4 linked regions of the Schizosaccharomyces pombe genome follow. The gene in region 1 interacts genetically with each later gene. Each region holds a gene or a part of one and is shown on either strand. Other genes may lie near its edges. The genes, in order: cwf19, rsa1, gdh1 and cxr1.

Evidence for each region.
Region 2: mutations in cwf19 (region 1) and rsa1 together harm fitness less than expected from each alone (positive genetic interaction), as found in Schizosaccharomyces pombe (one large-scale study listed by BioGRID).
Region 3: mutations in cwf19 (region 1) and gdh1 together harm fitness more than expected from each alone (negative genetic interaction), as found in Schizosaccharomyces pombe (one large-scale study listed by BioGRID).
Region 4: mutations in cwf19 (region 1) and cxr1 together harm fitness more than expected from each alone (negative genetic interaction), as found in Schizosaccharomyces pombe (one large-scale study listed by BioGRID).

Annotation. Positions count from the first base shown.
Region 1 is NC_003424.3:1,100,589-1,105,780, forward strand, and holds cwf19 (protein Cwf19), read right to left. Parts: upstream 3,220-5,192; 5' UTR 3,160-3,219; coding exon 1,747-3,159; exon of another isoform or gene 1,703-1,746; coding exon 1,435-1,702; exon of another isoform or gene 1,392-1,434; coding exon 1,153-1,391; 3' UTR 1,097-1,152; downstream 1-1,096. Other genes in the region: DNA recombination mediator Rad52 (previously Rad22), read right to left, coding at 1-949; Lsd1/2 complex PHD finger domain-containing protein Phf2, read left to right, coding at 4,276-5,192. UniProt on the Schizosaccharomyces pombe protein: Involved in mRNA splicing where it associates with cdc5 and the other cwf proteins as part of the spliceosome. Involved in mRNA splicing.
Region 2 is NC_003423.3:4,331,099-4,335,528, reverse strand, and holds rsa1 (ribosome assembly protein), read left to right. Parts: upstream 1-2,143; 5' UTR 2,144-2,405; coding exon 2,406-2,783; exon of another isoform or gene 2,784-2,841; coding exon 2,842-2,988; exon of another isoform or gene 2,989-3,064; intron 3,065-3,074; coding exon 3,075-3,173; 3' UTR 3,174-3,351; downstream 3,352-4,430. Other genes in the region: protein Dbl6, read right to left, coding at 327-1,379; vps1302 (lipid transfer protein), read left to right, coding at 3,501-3,522, 3,561-3,673, 3,736-3,888, 3,974-4,430.
Region 3 is NC_003421.2:1,417,932-1,423,479, reverse strand, and holds gdh1 (NADP-specific glutamate dehydrogenase Gdh1), read left to right. Parts: upstream 1-2,276; 5' UTR 2,277-2,667; coding exon 2,668-4,023; 3' UTR 4,024-4,349; downstream 4,350-5,548. Other genes in the region: TTT co-chaperone complex, armadillo-type fold subunit Tti1, read left to right, coding at 1-930; lmb1 (plasma membrane LMBR1-like multi-pass membrane protein, human LMBRD2 ortholog, implicated in signaling), read right to left, coding at 4,497-5,548.
Region 4 is NC_003423.3:3,834,382-3,839,543, reverse strand, and holds cxr1 (splicing factor Cxr1), read left to right. Parts: upstream 1-2,279; coding exon 2,280-3,701; 3' UTR 3,702-4,147; downstream 4,148-5,162. Other genes in the region: C2 domain protein Git1, read left to right, coding at 5,051-5,162.

The sequences.
Region 1 (5,192 bases):
CAGTCACAGCATTGCCAACGGAATCACTGGTATTTTGTGGAACAGCGACAGGATAGGTGTGGCTTCTCTGCACTGGTTTAGCTGAATTGTGTGAACCTTTATCTTTGTTATTTATTTGAGTGCCAGCTTTTTCAGAATGGTGGTTATTAGCAGCAGGATGGGCTGTGTCCTCTGCTACTGCTAAATGAGCAATTATATCATCCTCTACAAAAATATTGTCTAGCTCTTCGTCTGCATACATTTCAATTTCTCTTGTCTGTTCGTCATTTAATTCTGCAGCTCTACGAGGAGCTAATTGTTCTCCCTTGTTAACCAGAGGTTGATTGTTAACAGTCCTCGTGCTATTTAATGTTTTCTGTTTTTTTATGAAAGACTCTCTCGCTGCAGGATCTGTTTTACGGAACAAGTCACCGCTATCAAAGTGATAAGTGGGTGGTTTCATTTTTCCAACTTCTCTAAGATAGTATTTGTCATACATGCAATTTCCTAAACTGTTTCCAAAATTTCGTAGAGCGCGTTTTAAGGCATCTGTAGTGCCCTCTTTCTTGCATTTCTCAAACGCTGAAGCCTTTCCACGGCAATTATCAATAGAACCGTATCCAATATCTTCATGATAGGCACCATCTTTGATTGTCACGCGAACAATCACGCTCAAGCCAAGACTGATACGTCCATTTTCCTTATTTTCGTCCATAAAGTCAACATTAATGCTGCGTATCGACGAAGACCACCCATTAAATCCAAAAATTTCGTTCGCAAGCTCAATTGCTTTCCAAGACTCAATATAACTGACTGAAAAACCCCCAGGACCTGACCTTCTTGAAACGTACTCAGGTCCAAGCTTTCGAGTTAGGGAGCTTTGAAGAAAGTTAAACTCTTCATGAGAATACGCTGTGTTAAAATGGCCCTGGTCTTCTGATGCTACATGCTGTTTTTGCTCAAAAGACATCCCTTCTAGCTTATATGAAGCAGTATATTAGCTGTGTGCACATGGACAGGTACCAAGTAATAAAGAAAGATAAGGTAGCATAGCGAGTAACCACTTAATGAAAATAAAGATCTTACAAATCATCAGTAATGAATATTACTTAAAGAATGTAGATACAAAAATAAAAACAAAATTTTATTTGAATTAAAGGATTTTCGTAATTACTAATCAATTAATCCCTTGGTCCAATCGAATTTTTCAAAACGACTGCGAAACATATCTTCGCGTGGATCTTTTTTACCTGTCCAAGAACCTTTCCTTCTGATTACTTCAGGAGGAAGGTTTAGCATACTGGCAAATACCTGCCTAGGAACTTGATCGTGCCTCCCCCATGCCTTCTCGTCTTCCACGACATGCCCGTAGCCACCATCAATACTGAACCAAACATGAAAATAACCCAATTCTAATCATTAGTAAAATAAATGATTACGATTTTCCAAACATACCCTTAACCATCATTTTTCGAAAAGCCCATTTTCCATACTTCTTCGAACCTTCTAATGTATCAATAATTTTTCGATGTTGAGACCACTCCTCGTCAGAAGTAGACAAAGCTTCACGGAAGTAAGCAGGTGCAAGTGAGAGGATCCTTTTAGAGACTGGAATACACTCAATAGCTGTGTGCATATATCTTTGTGGTGAAGGCGCGTTTTCATAAAAAATAACACCAAGATTCATGGAATCAAACATTAGGGCGATGCATTTCATAAAATTCTAAAAAGGTTTGTTAGTTATTTCCTTTTACTATATTAACATACTCTGATTTCATCCCATTCATCCTCATCACAGCTGAGGGTATTTATCCGATGTCCTGTAGGAACAATTAAACAATGATATTTAGCTAATTCGGGTTGAGTTGGTAAAGAAACATAAGCACGATGACTTAAAGATATTACTGGTGCCAAAGGTTGTGTTTCATAATTTAGGCAAAGAGGACAAGTGTCCAAAACATGATTAATTTTTTTAAGATCCCCACCACTACTAATTTGAGCTAGACTGACGTCTCCGCGCTTCATTCGATTAGAAAGTTTCCCTGCATTTTCGTCCAAATAATCCAGATTGTTAGAATAAGTTTTATCCTTTGCAATCTGCTTTGCGTATTCATAATTCTGGCCGTATTTCCGTTGTTTATTCAACAATTTTTCTTCCTGTACCATCTCATCAATAGTAGGATCGTCGAAGTTTCTTTTTTTTGATGGTATGGTTGCTTGCGAATTAGAATTTTCCGAAGGGTGTAAAGAGTTTTCGAAGTCATCACAAGCTTTCTGATATTCCCTTTCTAAAGACTCATAGTTAGGATCCTTTTTAAGTTGAGCACGTAACAAATCAGCTTTTAATCTATTCAAATCGCTTTCAGTGGGAGTATCTTTATTTACAGAAGGGTCAGGTATTACTTTGTAGTATGTAGCGCCATTACCAGAATCTTTTCTAGTCTTAAATTCATCAGCACATCGTTTTTCATATAATTCGCCAGTAGGAACTTCTTTCTGAACTTTTCGAGTTCGTTTTCGAAGCTCTAACTCATCTCTTTCTTCCAAGGCAAAATCAAATTCTTTCAATGAACCATAACGTTCCAGAGCTACTTCTTCAACGGGGCGTCGTTGGTCTTGAGCCATGTCAAATACGCGTTTGAGCTTCATCATACGCCATCGAGAGCCATTATCACCAATTTTGTAATTAATTCCTGACTCATTAATTTCGGTTTCAAGCTGTTCTATATCTTTATGTTCTGTACTCGTCGAACTCTCATTCTGTAATGTTGCACCAACAAAAATTTCACCAGGCTTATTGGACTTTCGGTCAATAGGTTCTCTTTGTATACGCGAACCGAACGTACCAAAATCCAAACCTTGCAATGAATTAGTAAAGTCATTATTCTGTGGATTGTCTTTGGAGGATGGCATGGAAGAAGCAGAAGCGAATTTGGAGTCAAAGTATTCATTTTCAACAGGAAGTTTCTTTACCTCCAATGGCTCTTTACTAAATCTTTCATGCCTACTTCGGTCACCTGCTTCTCTAGAGCTTGGCCTTTCACTGCGATCATGTCGTCCATGCTTGCTCTCACGATGCCTAGAGTGGTGGTGACGATGCCTTCTAGAGTGATTTGTTTCTCTGTCAGTTTCATTGAATTTGTGAGTACTGGTCCTATTTGTAAGCTTTTCCTTTTCCATAATGGACGTTATTTTAATATTAATTCATGAAATAAATAATTTTTAACAATAATTAGAGGCAAAATGGTGGGAAAAAGGAAATAATGTTTTTATTGTAACTTAACGATGGTAGTAGTACATTCGTTAAGTCAAGTGGTTCAGGCACTATGCAGATCTAAACAAGCAACGCAAATGATAGTTTTGCCAGGAGTTTAGTTTAGACAATGATCAGAATTCTCTTTTAAATTAAAAAAAATTGTAAAATATTGCGTTGAAATGGAAAGAAAAGAAAGTGAAACAATTAAGTTTGAAAGAAGGAGTATCGGCCTTTGCAGTATTCCACATTGACAGTGAAAGGCGATACAATAACTTTAGGATTCCAAAATATATACCACTAACTTCAAACAAAAACCTTTTAAATAACGCAAGGACTTTAGTAGTACTAAATTACCCATTGTTTATTTGAACTTCATTACAAATAAGTTGGAAAGAATAATAAAATACCTCGCGCTAACTACTGTATAGTGTGTCTTGCGCTAGTGTACAATGAGTTTATGATACTAGCAAAGCTACACAACAGCCACAGAAAAAAAAGCATTGTTTGTTTCCAAACTGTGACGATTTTTTATACCTGTATTTCCAGTGTAATTGGATCATTGCAATTATATTTTCTTTAGCAAAGTACTAAAGAAGTCTGTTTATCGCCTTTAATAGCATACAAGTTCAATCAATTATAGCTGTTAGGCCATCTAGGAAATATAAACAAAGGAAAGACCAAATTTTCATTCATATTTATAGCTATGACTAGTTAATGCATGAATAATTAAATTTAACAAAATTAAAAATAAAAAAGCTCTAATAAATGTGAGATTTCAGCTCTTCATGGATACGTGCAGTATTTATATATGACTAGACAGTGAGTTGTAGTGAGAAGTGAATAAGCGAGATATAGTGATGATCAATCTCATTTCGCTAGCAAAACATAATTGGAGTAACAGCAGCAAACGATTTATAAGTTGCGTTAAATCTCACCTAAATTCCAAACACGCGTGTTGAACTTACACATTCGCATTTTTTGCCATTTGCTTCATTTTTTCATTTGTTTTTTACATGAGCATATGAATGATTTAAAACCTAATGCCGAATTCATCGTACTATGACGACGATGGCGGTTCTTTTGAAGCGGCATCATATCCTTTTCAATTCGACGGTAGTCGTCGATTTCCCAATGATTTGCATCCAACGATGTTTGAGGGGGAGGAATCTAATCAAAATGGAGGCTCTGTGCTAATAGATCAAGCCTTTCAGGATATACAAAATCCTAACGTGAATTCAAACATGCATTTGGAAAATCAGTTCCAACACTTTCACGAGCCAAACAAGGAGTCAGGTGCTTTCGGTTCGTACAAAAATGATGATGTTGCTAAAGAAATAGAATCTAGTAAAAATCAGGAAACCGATGCAAAAAGCGAACAGGCACCTTTCACTGAAGACGCATCTTCATCTAATTATGCGCATCATAGAAGTGCTGATTCCCAAACAAAATCTGCGTTACCCCCAAATGTTCCTGCAAGTTCATCGCCATTACCTCCTATGTCAATTGCTATGAACATTGCTCGGAAAAGATCATGGCCTGCCAGTTTGGCTATTGAACGTGACAACACCGCTGACGCCCTCTTTTCTACTGAAGATGGTAGGGAAGAGCAATTTAATTTGGAAGGTGTCAAAACAAAATCAGGAAGAAAAGTGCATCGCCCTAATCATTTCGATCCCCTTGTAAAATTACCTACTAGACGACGTGGCCCAGGTCGTCGACCTGTGGTCGCATTAGCTATGAAATGTTCGGTTTGTCAACGACTTCAATCTCCACCAAAAAATCGCATCGTTTTCTGTGATGGTTGTAACACTCCATTCCATCAACTTTGTCATGAACCCTATATTTCTGATGAACTTTTAGATTCCCCCAATGGAGAATGGTTTTGTGATGATTGCATTAGGAGAAAAAAGCAAGCGCCTCTCGTAACTGGAACTACGGCACGAGAACTAAATCTGTC
Region 2 (4,430 bases), on another chromosome or scaffold:
TACTATGAGAGTAAAATATGCTTAAAAGCTGTAAGTTATTCGTTAAATAAAAAGTAATTCACATCTCAAGTCGTTTTAAATTTTAGAATATAATGTTATGCTGCTGAAACCGTAAACGGATTTTTAGGACTTTTGTTTACATATCAAAACAATGATATGATAACAAGCTGTTCTTTATAAAGAGTAATAAAAATAACGGCGCTGTAACATTGTAAACTAGATTCAACATGATAAAAAGCTACTACAAAATAAGTTGCGTAAAAAGATAGGAAATTAATTATTCAATTATTGTACAAATAAATACACACTTCGCAGCGTGAGCTAGTTCATAACTTTAAATTCATCAAGACTTCGTGAGTATCCTTAATCTTCAAGGGGCTGACCATAACAGAATGAATAGGAGAGCATTTCTTATCCAAATCATAATAAATGGAAGGAGATACAGCTCTTCTCTTCGATAAGTCGATTATTTCTTCGCCCCATCGAGTTCGCTTTTTCGAGGATGGGGTACGGGATCTGGAGTGATTGCTATTCGGAGTTGACATTTCTGTATCCTTAAAAAATACAGAACTGGAAAGCAGAGGAGATATGGGCATCTCATTCGAAGGCTTAGTAGATGGATTGTCCGTATTACTACTGTCCTCTGCAGATGACTCAATTACATCAGAGTTCTCAACAGCTTTCAAAGATCCTGATGGTGCGAGAACATTACCATTTGCACCTGTTATAGAACTGTAAAACGGTACACCCGGACCTACCATTGCAGGCGAAGCAGCTCTAGAAACAAAGGATGATGATTTTTTAGGCTCGAAAAACATCTTGGAAAATTCCGATTCACTACGGATTTCCAACTCCAGAGGAGATGATTCTTCATACAAGGCACTGGCTACGCGTTGGAACATTTTCGGTTTGGGAAGCAAAGACTTTCTTCGTAACACAGGACACAAAGATTTCGAAATTCTTCCAGAATGAGAGGGACTACAAAGGTCCTTTAAATTTTTTACTTCAATATGTTTATTTGGAGTCTTAGAAAACGAACGCTGATCCAAATTTTCATTGTAACTCAACTGCCTAGTTCCTCTAGCCATGGCAGCGGACGGCAAGTCTGTTGTAGAGTCTGATATGTACTCGGTATCATCATCTTCCATATCGGTCAGTTCTGAATCAAGTGGAAACATAGATTCATCAGTTTCGTCGCTCATTGAGTAATTTACATATCTTAATCCGATTGACGGTGAAGCTTCAGGAGAAGGGGCTGTAAAAGTTTGATGCAAGCTTGAGCACCTAATACTTTTCTCTCTGTTTCTTACAAAAAAGTTCAGACTTGAATTTGATGTTGCTGTGGTCGGTTTTCCAGGTGTTGGATGAAATGAATCCATTTCGACAGTATATCCCTACAAAATACCACAAAGACTTAAAAATAATATAAAGGCCCTATATTAAATAATCATTCTATATTTTATTGCATATGCTTTACAATTGAAAAAAATTCGTATTGACGAGGTGACGATAGGCTTCAGTTAAGATCTCGGGAGCAGTACAAAACATAAGCTTAAACATAGTTAATTCCAAAAGAGGATTCAAATCACCATTCTCATAGTAAAGCTTAACAGAAATTAACTTAATCAATAAATGAGAATTGTATAAGCCGCTTCTTTATACATAGTAAATATTAGGACAGACTATATTCAAGTAAGGATATTGTTGATACACTCATCAATTTTAATTTGCTTCAGAGATGTAAAGCAGGAAATTCAAAAGTTAAAAAATCGACAAGTGAAATTAGCTTATACATTCTGGATATTATCACTGTCCCTCTATATAACTGAAATTAAACTGAATGAAATAAATATTGCACAAATAGTCTAGTGTTGGTAGAATAATTAATTATTTCAATAGGGAGCTAATACTGTGAAATTAGTAGTATTTTGCTGTTCTACATTACATCTCGTTTTCAAGTTAGTTGTTGAGTTGGGGTGTATGATTCTGCTGTATACACTCAATGTTTTTTGCCACTTTTTCATATTATTCACAACTCCATTTGAAATTTGGAGCAATTAAAGGCTTATTTTTTTTATAATTGCTTTATCAAGCGAAAGGTGCAAAACCTAATTTAGTCCTACATCGACGTCTTATATTTTCTGATACACACACCTACATCAAAACCAGTCATCGTAAATTTTTTTAAAACCATACTTCAATTGAATCTGTTAATCAGGGTAACACAGCGTTTAAAAATAATCATATATTACATTTTGGAATTTCTGTAAATTCTCGTTTATGAGAAACACGTTCCTTACTCTATTGATTGTGTTTTGCAATTTCGCGTTGCGGTGATTATACATTGACTTTGAAAACTAATTTTTCAATTTGAGAATTTATCTTGAAGCTTTGAGTTATTTGGGATGAATCCTACCTCATTTATATATGATAAACCTCCACCTCCTCCCATCATAAACAAACCTTTTGAGCAAACGAATTCTTCTGCCTCCTTGACTCAAAAGAATTCTAGTAGTGAGACAGAAAATGTAGGAAGGCATGGGAAACGGCGAATGGATCAAGATCTTTCTTTTAAGCCAACAAAGCGAGGCAGTGGAAGAGGAAGAGGGAGAAGTTTTCGAGGGGGTTCACATGCCGGAAATACTAGGGGAGCTTGTGCAGTTGATGGAATAGAATACTTGAAGCGAAGGAATATTTCCATTAATACACCTGAGGAAATTGAAGCTTGGATTCAGGAGAGAAAAAAGAATTGGCCAACAGAGAGTAATATTCGCTCAAAACAAGTATGTCTATTTAGGTTTGCTCTAGTTGTATTCACACGTACTAATTGATGGTAATAAGGAAAAAGAAAAAGTTATGGAGAACTTAGGCGCTGCAGATACTTCACAATCGATAGACGCTCAACCTACTCCATCTCAGCACCCTTTAGCACACCATGAGCCTCACGAAAAAAGAGGACCTCCTAAAAAAAAGAGTCTCTATACAAAGGTACTTATATTTTCATTTTAGCCATTTAAAATTGGTTATGAAAAATGTGTTTATCCGATTCTTTTTACTAACATTGAACTTTCCAGTTGCTTAATACTCAATTGGAGCAAGAAAACATCTTCTTCCTTCAATTCATGAAATTATACCTTAAAAAAATGGGAATGGTTGTTAAACCTGTATCATGACTGCTGCCAAAAAATTATTTGCTATGATTTACCGCTGAACCACTCCGACTTTAGTAGCTACTTCTTCAAAGAAAACAGAAACTAAATTTTTTTTATTAACATATTCTAATGGATTTCTTGAAATTTTTACAAACGTAAACGAGATTTTTCTTTTCTTGAAAATGTCTGTTACTTAGCTTAATGTTACTTATGGTGTAGGCGTTCACGTCATGCTCTGACATTCTATCTTTATAACCCTCAACGCAGTAGTTGTAGCGTTCGAAACCATCTGTAAAGCAAAGTTCAAAATATTTACAGTTTGCTGTTTCTCACCGTATTCCCTTCAATATGTTAGAAGGGTTACTAGCAAGTAAGTCTTTTGTATTAAATACGAAACTAACGAAAAAGATTTTTTAAATCGACTCTTAGGAGAATACATTGAGAATTTTGACGCTACTCAGTTAAAAGTCGCTGTTTGGAACGGAGATGTTACGCTACGAAACTTGCAGTTGAAACGGAGTGTATGAGATTATAAGATGAATTATATTGAAAATTTTGATTTTGTATCTAATAAAATTGTTAGGCTTTCCGTAAACTAGAATTACCAATTTCGGTTCAATATGGTTTGGTTGAAGAACTGACACTCAAAATACCATGGTCTTCTTTAAAGAATAAACCAGTTGAAATATATATAGTTGGAATTCGTGCTTTGGCTTCAATGGAAGAAAATGTGAAGGTAGGGATCAAATATGAATATAGAATAAAACAGCACTTAGGACAATATAACGTTGTTTTAGAGCAGTTACTAACCATATTTATAGTCGCAATCAGAAGTTGACCCACATCAAGTCTTAGAGTCAAAGAGAAGACAAATGCAACTGTGGGAGGCTTCACAGATTGGCAAAGCAGAAACGGCATATGACCCTAAGACACAAACTTTTACCGAGTCTTTGATTACTCGAATGATTGATAATATTCAAATAAATATCCGAGATATTCACATACGTTTTGAACACTTACCTGTTTCCAATGTTGTTCCAGGTGGCTATTCCTTTGGATTGCTTCTTTCCGAATTTTCAATAGAATCTTGTAATGAGGAATGGACTTCGACATTTGTAGAAACCGAATCCCAAACTATCTACAAACTCTGTTCTTTACGAGGATTTGGTATTTATTCTGATGAGACTGCGGAATGCATTGATAAAACTGATATTAATGAACTGATGAACACCTTTCAAGCTTTAATTACTGATTTTCAATCGCGAGAGAAAGATTATA
Region 3 (5,548 bases), on another chromosome or scaffold:
GGCAAAGAAAATGAAAATATGGGTGAGACCACAGTTGATCATGAAAACATAAATAGTAATGTTATGGACGAACAAGGAGAAAAGCAAAAAGATGATGTCGTCGATATGGTAAGGAAAATCACGGAAAAGGCGCAGTTATTCTTATCACATGAACAAATTACGATACGAGTGGAAATGTTAAAATTGTTGAGCTATGGAAGCAATGTTTTGGCTAAGGAGCCAAACACATTTTATCCTGCTATTAATACATTTTGGCCATTGGTCGTTATTCAGCTTGACACGGATAACGAACTGCTAGTAGAATGCGCATTAGAAACTATATATCAAGTTTGCGCCCTTGCAGATGATTTTATGACATCTAGGATTCGCCAAGATTTGCTTCCACGATTGGAGACGTTGTGCCAACGTTGGCATCTTTTCAATGTTGCTCGAACATATTCTAGTGAGCATCGTTTGCAAAGGGCAATGCTAAAAGTAACTTCAGCATGTGTGGCTAACAAATTGAGCATTGTAGTGTATTTGAAGCTTATGGGGATAACGGCACCCATCATACGAGCCATTACTCACATGTCTCAAAAGTATGCGGGGGATGAATCATTGGTGGAAGAAACTTGGAACGCATTTTCCAAGCAAAATCCCGACGCAGTGTATTATGAGAGAGAAGTTCGAGGGTCTCAAATGATTGACACTTTCTCTACTGAATTGTTAATTCCGGGAAAGCAACGTGTTCAACGTACATATCGCCGAACACATGAAGTTTTGGAACCTGTCGGAGCAAAGACGTCGGAGACTGTTTTCAATGATTTGCTTGGGCAACAAGGCAGCGGGAAAACCGAGACACAAGAGGAACCACTCCCTTCTTTGGACAATTTGTTACACTTGAATCAACCGAAAAAAGGAGCTAAAAAACCATTGATTTCCATCATTTAACGATAATAAAAGTGGTTACCAGTTTTAGAATTTTCCGTGTTTTAAAAGAAAATACAAAGAGCCTAAAAATCAGGCAAAGAATTCCATTACATCGCATAAAATTATATTGGCAAAGGCTCGACTTTTTTCATCTTGGCATTATTTGATTTGACTAAGGCTGTACTCGATTCAACTTGTTTCGATTTAGATGAGCCATTTTACCTACATTCAATGAGTCAGACTCAACGAATTTAGCTAAGTTGACGAAACGAGGCTGGCAGCTACCTAAATTATACTAAAAAACAAACTCATCTTGCTACCGAGCACAACGACGATCGCACCTTGTTTCGTAGTTTCGCTAATCTTTCGAATGAACTATTTTCTATCCAATTTTAGATTCAAAGCAAACAGCCACATGATCGGGCAAGGAATAAATGGACAAACGATAGTGGGATAGTGGGTTATCAGAAGACCAAAAAATAAAGAAATTTGAAATTTTTCTAACTTACATCTACGCTACGAATTTCATGACTCTGTTTCGTTTGTCTTTTTTCTATTGAAAGCTAGTCATGACTATGGCTGCTAAGGCGCAATACGTTTGGATGAGCGAATGTTTAGTCCATACTGTAAAACCGAGGCAAGGCCGTTTACTCGAATTTTCGGATATGTATTTGCGATTTGGTCTGCCTGGAAGAACCTACCCGTTTCAGTGTGATTCGACCTATTTCAGTATTTAGCGTTTTTTTCTTTTGGTACTATCCTTAGTTATCCTTGTTATCAGTAAGGGGGCAGCAACTGAAAGGAGTAAAGAATAGACCCTTTAAATGGATGTGAGAGATTGGAACGAGATTAGATTAACAAAGGACTTGGACTTTTCCAGATTTTTTTTCTTAAAAAAATTATAGAAACTGTTAATCAACAGAAAGCGAAAATCTTCTATATTACAACATTAACCTCTCTAAAACATTTTTTTTTCATCTAAAAACATCTTTCCCCCCCCCCCAAGCACCCCATCCCACTAAGGATCTTCTATAATTCCATGGATTTTCCCGGAGGAGCTGCGTTTTCCCCACATTTTCAGTAGGGTGGGTGATAGCCGTTGCACGGACCAATCATTAAGCAATGCTTATCTTATCTTTATTTGGTTGAGCAGGAGACGAAGGAATTCTGTGAGGGGGTTGGCTTATCAGATCGGAAATTTTCCGCTTAAGTAATCTTCTTTTCCACTATCCAATTATAGAGAAAAGAGATATATAGGAGCATTGTGATTGGAGATTTTGACATCATACTTACATCCTATTCGTCTGTTATCTCCGCCATCGCTCTTCCATCAGGTTTATTGCAAGTCGTCAGCCATTAGCAAACGTATGGTCTCCCAAAAAACAAGGTATCTGGTGTGACTGTTGATTATTGCTTGTTAAGTGTATAAATATAGCAGACATGGCCAGCACGTCCCTGAATCCTCCTGCTACACTGCACTGGTACATCTGGTAAGCGTTTTGAACCCGGATCGATATCTCTTACATACTCACGTTGTAAGAGTTTTGTTGGATTGTAGTTAAATTTTGAAAGTCTTTGCGTTGAAGGCGTCGAATACGGATTTGTATAGAACTTTGGATTGTACAGCCTGTATTTGTATTGTTAAAAGTTTTCGAGGTCGCCTTTTTTTGATATCTCGAATTCTCTAAACTTATCATTATTATATAGATATACACTCTATATCACTACCTTCGATTTTGTTTACTTTTTTGGCCCACCATGAGTACCCCATACGAACCTGAATTTCAACAAGCCTACAAGGAGATTGTGGGCTCCATCGAGAGCTCCAAGCTCTTTGAAGTTCATCCCGAGTTGAAGCGTGTGCTTCCAATCATTTCCATTCCCGAACGTGTCTTAGAATTCCGCGTCACATGGGAGGACGATAAAGGTAACTGCCGTGTTAACACCGGCTACCGTGTCCAATTCAACTCGGCTTTGGGCCCCTACAAGGGTGGATTGCGTTTCCATCCTTCCGTCAACTTGAGCATCCTCAAGTTCTTGGGCTTTGAACAAATTTTCAAGAATGCCTTGACGGGCCTTCCCATGGGTGGTGGCAAAGGTGGTTCTGACTTCGACCCCAAGGGCAAATCCGACAACGAGATTCGTCGCTTCTCGCAAGCTTTCATGCGTCAGCTTTTCCGCTATATCGGTCCTCAAACTGATGTACCGGCTGGTGATATTGGTGTCACAGGTTTTGTCGTTATGCACATGTTTGGTGAGTACAAGCGTCTTCGCAATGAGTACAGTGGTGTCGTCACCGGCAAGCACATGCTTACCGGCGGTAGCAACATTCGTCCTGAAGCCACTGGCTACGGTGTCGTTTACTATGTTAAGCACATGATTGAACACCGCACCAAGGGTGCCGAGACCTTGAAGGGCAAGCGTGTTGCCATCTCCGGTAGCGGCAACGTTGCTCAATATGCTGCCTTGAAGTGCATTCAAGAAGGCGCTATTGTTAAGAGTATCAGTGACTCTAAAGGTGTCCTAATTGCAAAGACCGCTGAAGGCCTTGTCCCTGAAGAGATCCATGAAATTATGGCTCTAAAGGAGAAGCGTGCCAGCATTGCCGACTCTGCTTCTCTTTGCAAGAAGCATCACTACATCGCCGGTGCTCGTCCCTGGACTAATGTTGGTGAAATTGACATTGCTTTGCCTTGTGCAACTCAAAACGAAGTTAGCGGTGAGGAAGCCGCCGCTCTTATCAAACAAGGATGTCGCTACGTTGCTGAGGGCTCCAACATGGGTTCTTCTGCTGAGGCCGTTGAAGTCTTTGAGAAGTCTCGTGCTTCTGGTGAGGGTTGCTGGCTTGCTCCTGGTAAGGCTGCCAATGCTGGTGGTGTCGCCGTTTCTGGCTTGGAAATGGCTCAAAATGCTCAATTCTCTACCTGGACTCATGCCGAGGTTGACGCTAAATTGGCTGGAATTATGCAAAACATCTTTGAACAATCCACCGATGTCGCCTCCAAGTATTGTGACTCTGGCTCTAACAACATTCCCAGTCTTGTCGATGGTGCCAACATTGCTGGTTTCTTGAAGGTTGCTACTGCCATGCAAGCCGTTGGTGACTGGTGGTAGACTTCATTCGTGAAATGTTTAGGCATTTTTGATTCACTGTATCTGTATATGTTTTTTCAAGTCACTCGCTTTTCTGTACCTCTTCTACTTTACCAATTTTTTTAAAAAGCTATGAATCTATTAGATGATTATGATGCATACGAAAAAAAATAAATCAGTCTTTGAATTATTCTCACAGATGCTTCGAATACGAAGTACCCGTAATTATGTAGACTTTTCATGTAATAAAAGGATCATTTGATTTTCTAGTTCCGCTCAAGGCGCCTCCTTTATTCAATTAATTTTAACTGGTATTTGATAGCTGTATGAAATTATTATTTATGAGAATCCTTTGAAGAATTTACTAAAAAGAATTTTTTAACGTTATGTAAATGATAGACTTGTATAAGAAAATAGTTGAGAAATAACAATTGCTGTTAAAAATGTGAAGAATAGACTAAATTATTAAAATACATAGGGCTCATAACGGTAAATTAAACATGGGCATTATTTGTACCCAAAAGAAGGGCTCTGCCTTCAGCTAAATAGGCAGCCGAGGTTTCATTAAACAGATCATCATCGTTTTCTGAATTCAGTGATGAATCATCAAAGTCATCGGAAGAGCTGGCACTGGATGATTTGCGCAGCGTAATGGAATAAATGAATTGTCGCAACCTATATTTTAAAGAAATCATAGAAAAAATAATCGGCAGTAGTATAAAGGTTGGATAACGTTTGCTAATAAGATTTCCAAGTGGTAAGAGGTCAATACTCTCACCATAGAATTGATGGAATTGGGTGGGATAAGGTTGTAGAGAAACAAAGTTATAACAAAGAGGAAGCGTTAAGCGACAAAGTTGAGATGCGAAGTATATCAAGGAGGCCGTATTTGTAGCTCGGAAAGGAACTAATGCATAATAGTAATGTGGCGCAAATTGAGTTCGCATCAAGGATTTGTACGTGCAGTATCGCATGTAATAAACAAATAAAAACGATACAAAAATAGAAGTGGCAGACGAATTGGTAAACTTTTGTAAGATAATACCAACCAAGGAATATTGAGTGTGCAAAAACACTTCTGATACCACAATGATTACACTCATTGAAGCCATAAATATTGAGAACAAAATTCTAAAAGCTGGAAGAATCCAAACGTAAAATGCATATGCAACGACAGGGTGTATTGGAATATATGAGTCTGGTAAGTATAGACGATAAGAGCCAGATGCTTTAGCAGTTTTGATCAGCATAATACGATTATATTCTTTTACCATTTGATTCCAAGTAGTTTGTAAAGCGATCACGTTAGACATTCCATTTGGAGAACTGTGAGGATTGAATGCGTGATCAGTAAGAGATGAAGTAAAAAAATCGCTGCTAGATTGATTCCGGCCGTTATTTAAGCTAATGGATGAAGATGGTAAAGAGTAGCTCTCGAGCCGAGCTTGAAGTTTGCTGTATACTCCGACAGCCTGGCGCTCAAGAAGCGCGGCACGTTTTGTAATAAATGCCTTTTTCCACATACTAACCGGGACATACACAAAAC
Region 4 (5,162 bases), on another chromosome or scaffold:
GAATAAGTACCAAATGTAAGTTAACAAGGGTAAATGTGTACATGAATTTGTGATCATTCGAAATGGAAGGAAAGAAATTAAATTTTTTAAATCATAAAAAATTCTTATTATAATAATTTCTGTTTTGGGAGAGTTTTATAAAAATGCTGATCAGTAAACCTGAAAGAAATCAAAGGGGTATTGAAGAGTCATCTGTATACATATTTTATAAAAACAGAACTGTGAAACTTTTAAATCCTTGAAAAATGTTAGTAGCGAGATGAAAATGGACGGAATAAATAAATAAATTGAGAGCATTTTTAACCCAGTTCTAATTTGTCATTGTAGTATTAAAAGCGATTTTAAAAATTTTTGATGTTTCTTGCTTAGTTTCCCAAGCAGCATTTTGCAAATTTTCTAATTAAACGTTTCAAATAGCTTAAGCATCGTCCGTGCAGTATCAAAGCAGCTGTAAATTGTTTTAATAAACAAATATTTTAATTAATGTTTTTATATGTTCTACTTTCTTCTAAAGTTGTTTCCCCCTAAATTCAACTAATCTATATGAATACTGTTACATACCCATGCATTTTAAGCTATATGGCTTTACTTAATACCTAAATTTCTTTTTTTTTTTTTTTTTTTTTTTTTTAAATTAAAAATATTCATTACCTTTTTCCTAATTACTTTGTCTTTAAAGTGCAATGCGTAGGTATTGATAGCAGAACCAAATTTCAAAACTATTATTATTTGTATTTCTAAATTTATAATGGTATCTTTCATTAAAAATTGATCAAGTAGTGTCGCTTGAATTCTCTTTAGCGGCTTACTATTCAATATTTATATGACTGAGTGTTGGCGCTTAACCTCTAATGTATTTAGCCAGGTGGATACAAAGACAAACAACTGTATGAAAAATGAAAGTTTATAGAATTAATGGAAACGGTGAAAGCAAAATTTAAGCTGTCTCTAAACCTACAAATTCGCATTTTTCTTTTGCCAGCACCATATGACGCATCCGTAGGATCTGCACATTTCAAGCAACGTAAATCATTTACCTCATTTTACTACTATGACTGAAGCGATGGAACCCTGCGCAGGAATCCAAAACTGCATAAGAAAAGAAATTCAAAAGACATAATTAATAACATGGTTGCACAAATAAAATTCAAAAAAATACTTATGTAAATGAAAAACCTTAAAAAAATCAATAATTTATAATTGCATAAATAGATTGCCTAACAATGTGCTGATAGATAAGTCAACTTACCTACGCTACAACATCGAAACCCCGTATTTGAACAATTCCTTTGTTTCCTTTGTCCTTGTGCTTATATTATTTCTCATTTTCTTATATTTTAATTGAGCTACATATAGAAAGTAATATCGAGGGAATTGCGTCAAATTTGAGTTAAAAATTGCATTTTGATTTTGAAGTTAGCATTTCGCTTTTTTTTTTTTTTGAGGTCTTTTATTTTAATATTTTCTTCTCTTTCTTTTTGCTCGTAGGTTTAAAGCGCAATTGCTGTTATTTTGATTGCAGTAGACTCTCGTGTTTACGTTAATTGCTATATTCGTTTTTCGTTTCTGCGTTCAGCGATACCCAAGTATCGTTGTTATTCCTTCTGCCGTTTAAATTGAACTTTCTCTTCCGTTTTCCTTTAGACATTGCATATTGTGTGCATTTTACAAGCATACATTTTCACTTTTGAGTTGACTTTTCAATTAATTTAATATATTATCATTAACTGATAATTCGTTTGCAATTAAACATTGAAAAGTTTTTTTTCCTTGAATTAGATTTTTTTTTATTAAAGACACCTCTTTTTTTTGGAAACTCCTAATTTATTATTTGAATTTCTTCTAGACTCTTTATCAGTTATCGAAGACTTACTACTTAACTTTGATTCATATTTTTTTACGTTTGGATCGTTGAGTTAACTAATTGGCCTAGTACCAACTAATAATTTTCTCTACCTTCGTTCATTTCACTTTGTGTTTGATCGACTACAATCCAGTTTGTACTTTTTCTTGGACAACTAACCGTATAAGTTATTTCCGTTAACTCACCAAAGTTATTTTAAGAGTTTGTGTTTTGTATACACAGTACATCATCTCATTTTTGTGGTGATAATTAGTCCTTTTGGCGATTTATTCATTGTTTCATCTTCACAAATATCCATTGTCGAAACTTTCATCTAACTTAGTTCAGCCTTCTGTCTCTACCGTGAGCATAGTGTGTCGATTTTTTTTGGTTTCTAGTATAATCCACTCTTTTATTAATTGCTAAAATTTTTAAAATGTCTTCCTCACCGACTGAGTCTGAAATTTTACCCAAGGAATCGCATAATTCGATAGACGAACAAAGCCAACAACCAGCTAATACGGATACTTTGGTTAAAGATAACTCCTTCAATGAACAAGATGACCAAGAAGTGGACAATGATTATAAATCAAATGATGAACCCGTACAATCTCAAGATCCGATTTCTCCAAATATGGCATCCAACGAATCTGGAAATTCCGAAAATACTAGCAACTATGGCTCATCAAGAGATGAAAACGTCTATCAAAAAACGACGCTTTGGATGGGTGAATTAGAGCCTTGGGTTACTGAAGCATTTATCCAGCAAGTTTGGAATACTTTAGGAAAGGCAGTCAAAGTAAAGCTTATTCGTAACAGGTACACAGGCATGAATGCTGGCTATTGTTTTGTCGAATTCGCATCTCCTCATGAAGCTTCAAGCGCGATGAGTATGAACAACAAACCAATTCCTGGTACAAATCATTTGTTTAAACTTAATTGGGCCTCTGGAGGCGGATTACGTGAAAAGTCTATTTCAAAGGCCTCAGAATATTCCATATTTGTGGGAGACTTGTCACCCAATGTCAATGAGTTTGATGTGTATTCTCTCTTCGCATCTCGATATAACTCATGCAAGTCGGCCAAAATCATGACTGATCCTCAAACAAATGTGTCAAGAGGATATGGTTTTGTCCGTTTTACGGACGAAAATGATCAGAAATCTGCATTGGCAGAAATGCAGGGTCAAATTTGTGGTGATCGTCCTATTCGGGTGGGATTAGCCACTCCTAAAAGTAAGGCTCATGTTTTTAGTCCTGTGAACGTTGTACCTGTTAGTATGCCACCAGTTGGATTTTATAGTGCTGCACAGCCTGTTCCTCAGTTTGCTGACACAGCAAACTCAACCGTATTTGTTGGCGGTCTCTCAAAATTTGTTTCTGAAGAGGAGCTTAAGTATCTTTTTCAAAATTTTGGAGAAATTGTTTATGTCAAAATTCCACCTGGAAAAGGTTGTGGATTTGTGCAATTTGTCAACCGACAGTCTGCTGAAATTGCTATCAATCAGTTGCAGGGTTATCCTTTGGGCAATTCTCGTATCCGATTATCTTGGGGAAGGAATCAGAATCCAATTGCGGCTCCTGCCTTGAATTATCAGTCTCAGGTTTCACAAACTACTATTCCTGCTACCTCATTATTTCCGGCAATGAGTTTACCACCCCAGGCTCAGTTTAGTCCATATCCGGCTGTTGCACCTTCCCCCTTAGCCCTGCAAACGAGGGGTGCACCGATTGGCATGGAAATTTCGATTGGATCTCCTGCCCTCGTACCTGATCAAATGCATATTCCTGAAAACGGCAACTCTGATACCATGCCTGTTCCTAACACACAAGGAAAGCATTTATCAGCTGAAGAGTAATGTAAAAGTACTTGCGATTGAATTTTTTATAATGGCATGTCTCATACTTTTTATCATCATTCTTGGTTTTTATAAAGTATGAATAATTTTCCATCTATTCTAATAAGTTTGATGTTCATAATGAATCACGGAGAATTATTGTTTCGAGAAACGTGAGAGTTCTTGTAAACTCTATCTGTTATTTTGGACGTTAAATCAAGAGAGTCCCTTAGCATAATTGATTAATAAGCATTTTACATGTGTTCATGAATTCGAATTATCGAAGAAAAGCTTGAACTAAATTTTTGTTGGACATAGCTTCATTACGTTTCCTTTCTAAGGATTGACGGTTTTTATATTCATCTCTCCCTGTTTATGATATGAAATGCTACGTTTTTTTAGCCGAAATTTTCATTTGTCATGATTTTTATAGTCAAGAAAAAGGTTTTCATACGACGTATATAAAAGATTAAATTTAATAGTAATGATGGACTTCAGAATTATCGCACTGAGATTTTTAGGTCGCTGGAGAATGCAGTTTAGGCAAGGTATGTAAGTGCTTATTGAGATTTCCCATTGATAAACAACTTTTAAGTTGCTTCTGGTTTAATCATTCGTTCTTTTAGGTATGAGTTTAGTTAAATGATCAGCGCCATTTTCAAAACATTTCATTCAACCAAAAATCAACCGCCTCTAAATTCAATTTTATTTGAATGATACTCCCTATTTATCGAAAAATCCATTCAATTAAAATCTATTATTAACTTTTCATCCATTTAAATCTACTCCATTTTTAAAGCTCTTGTTTACAGAGTAACAACGCGACTTGCAACTTCTACTACGCCAGGGGGGCGACTGTCGCAATAAACAACTGACAGAAAACGCACTTATAGTATAGGCTCAAAATCTTTTTAAATCGTAGCCTTTCCCATTAATACGAATACATCATCAAATTCAGTTTTGCGATTAAGTATAAACGGGCTTAACTCGTGCGTTTATATACTTTGTCAACGCTGTGATTAGTATTCAACCTTTGACGTTACACTTTATTAACCTGGCTCGATACTCTTAAATAAGACTCTGGAAAGCGACAATTCTTATAATTAATTTTATTTTTTATTTTTTAACCTGTGAAAAAGTTTTAATCTCTAGACCTGGAACGATCATTAACATAATTGTGTACACATTATTGAAATCCAGCTTATAAATGAATTTTGATCTACTAAATAATTTACTCACCGATCCAAAGAAGCAGACAACATAAACCATCACCTATCGCTATTTTTACCTTCATCCATTAAATAACACCTTCATACATTCCGAACACCAGGTTTTTGCACTCTCTACTCAGCAAATCGGAAAGGCTTAAAATGGGATTCACTAGTGTTGAACCCCCAGATTTTTTTGATTGGACTGCCAGAGCTATATTTTTATTATCGACATTACGCAGTCGCAGAAATGCTAAGCAAATTGAGCGTGAAA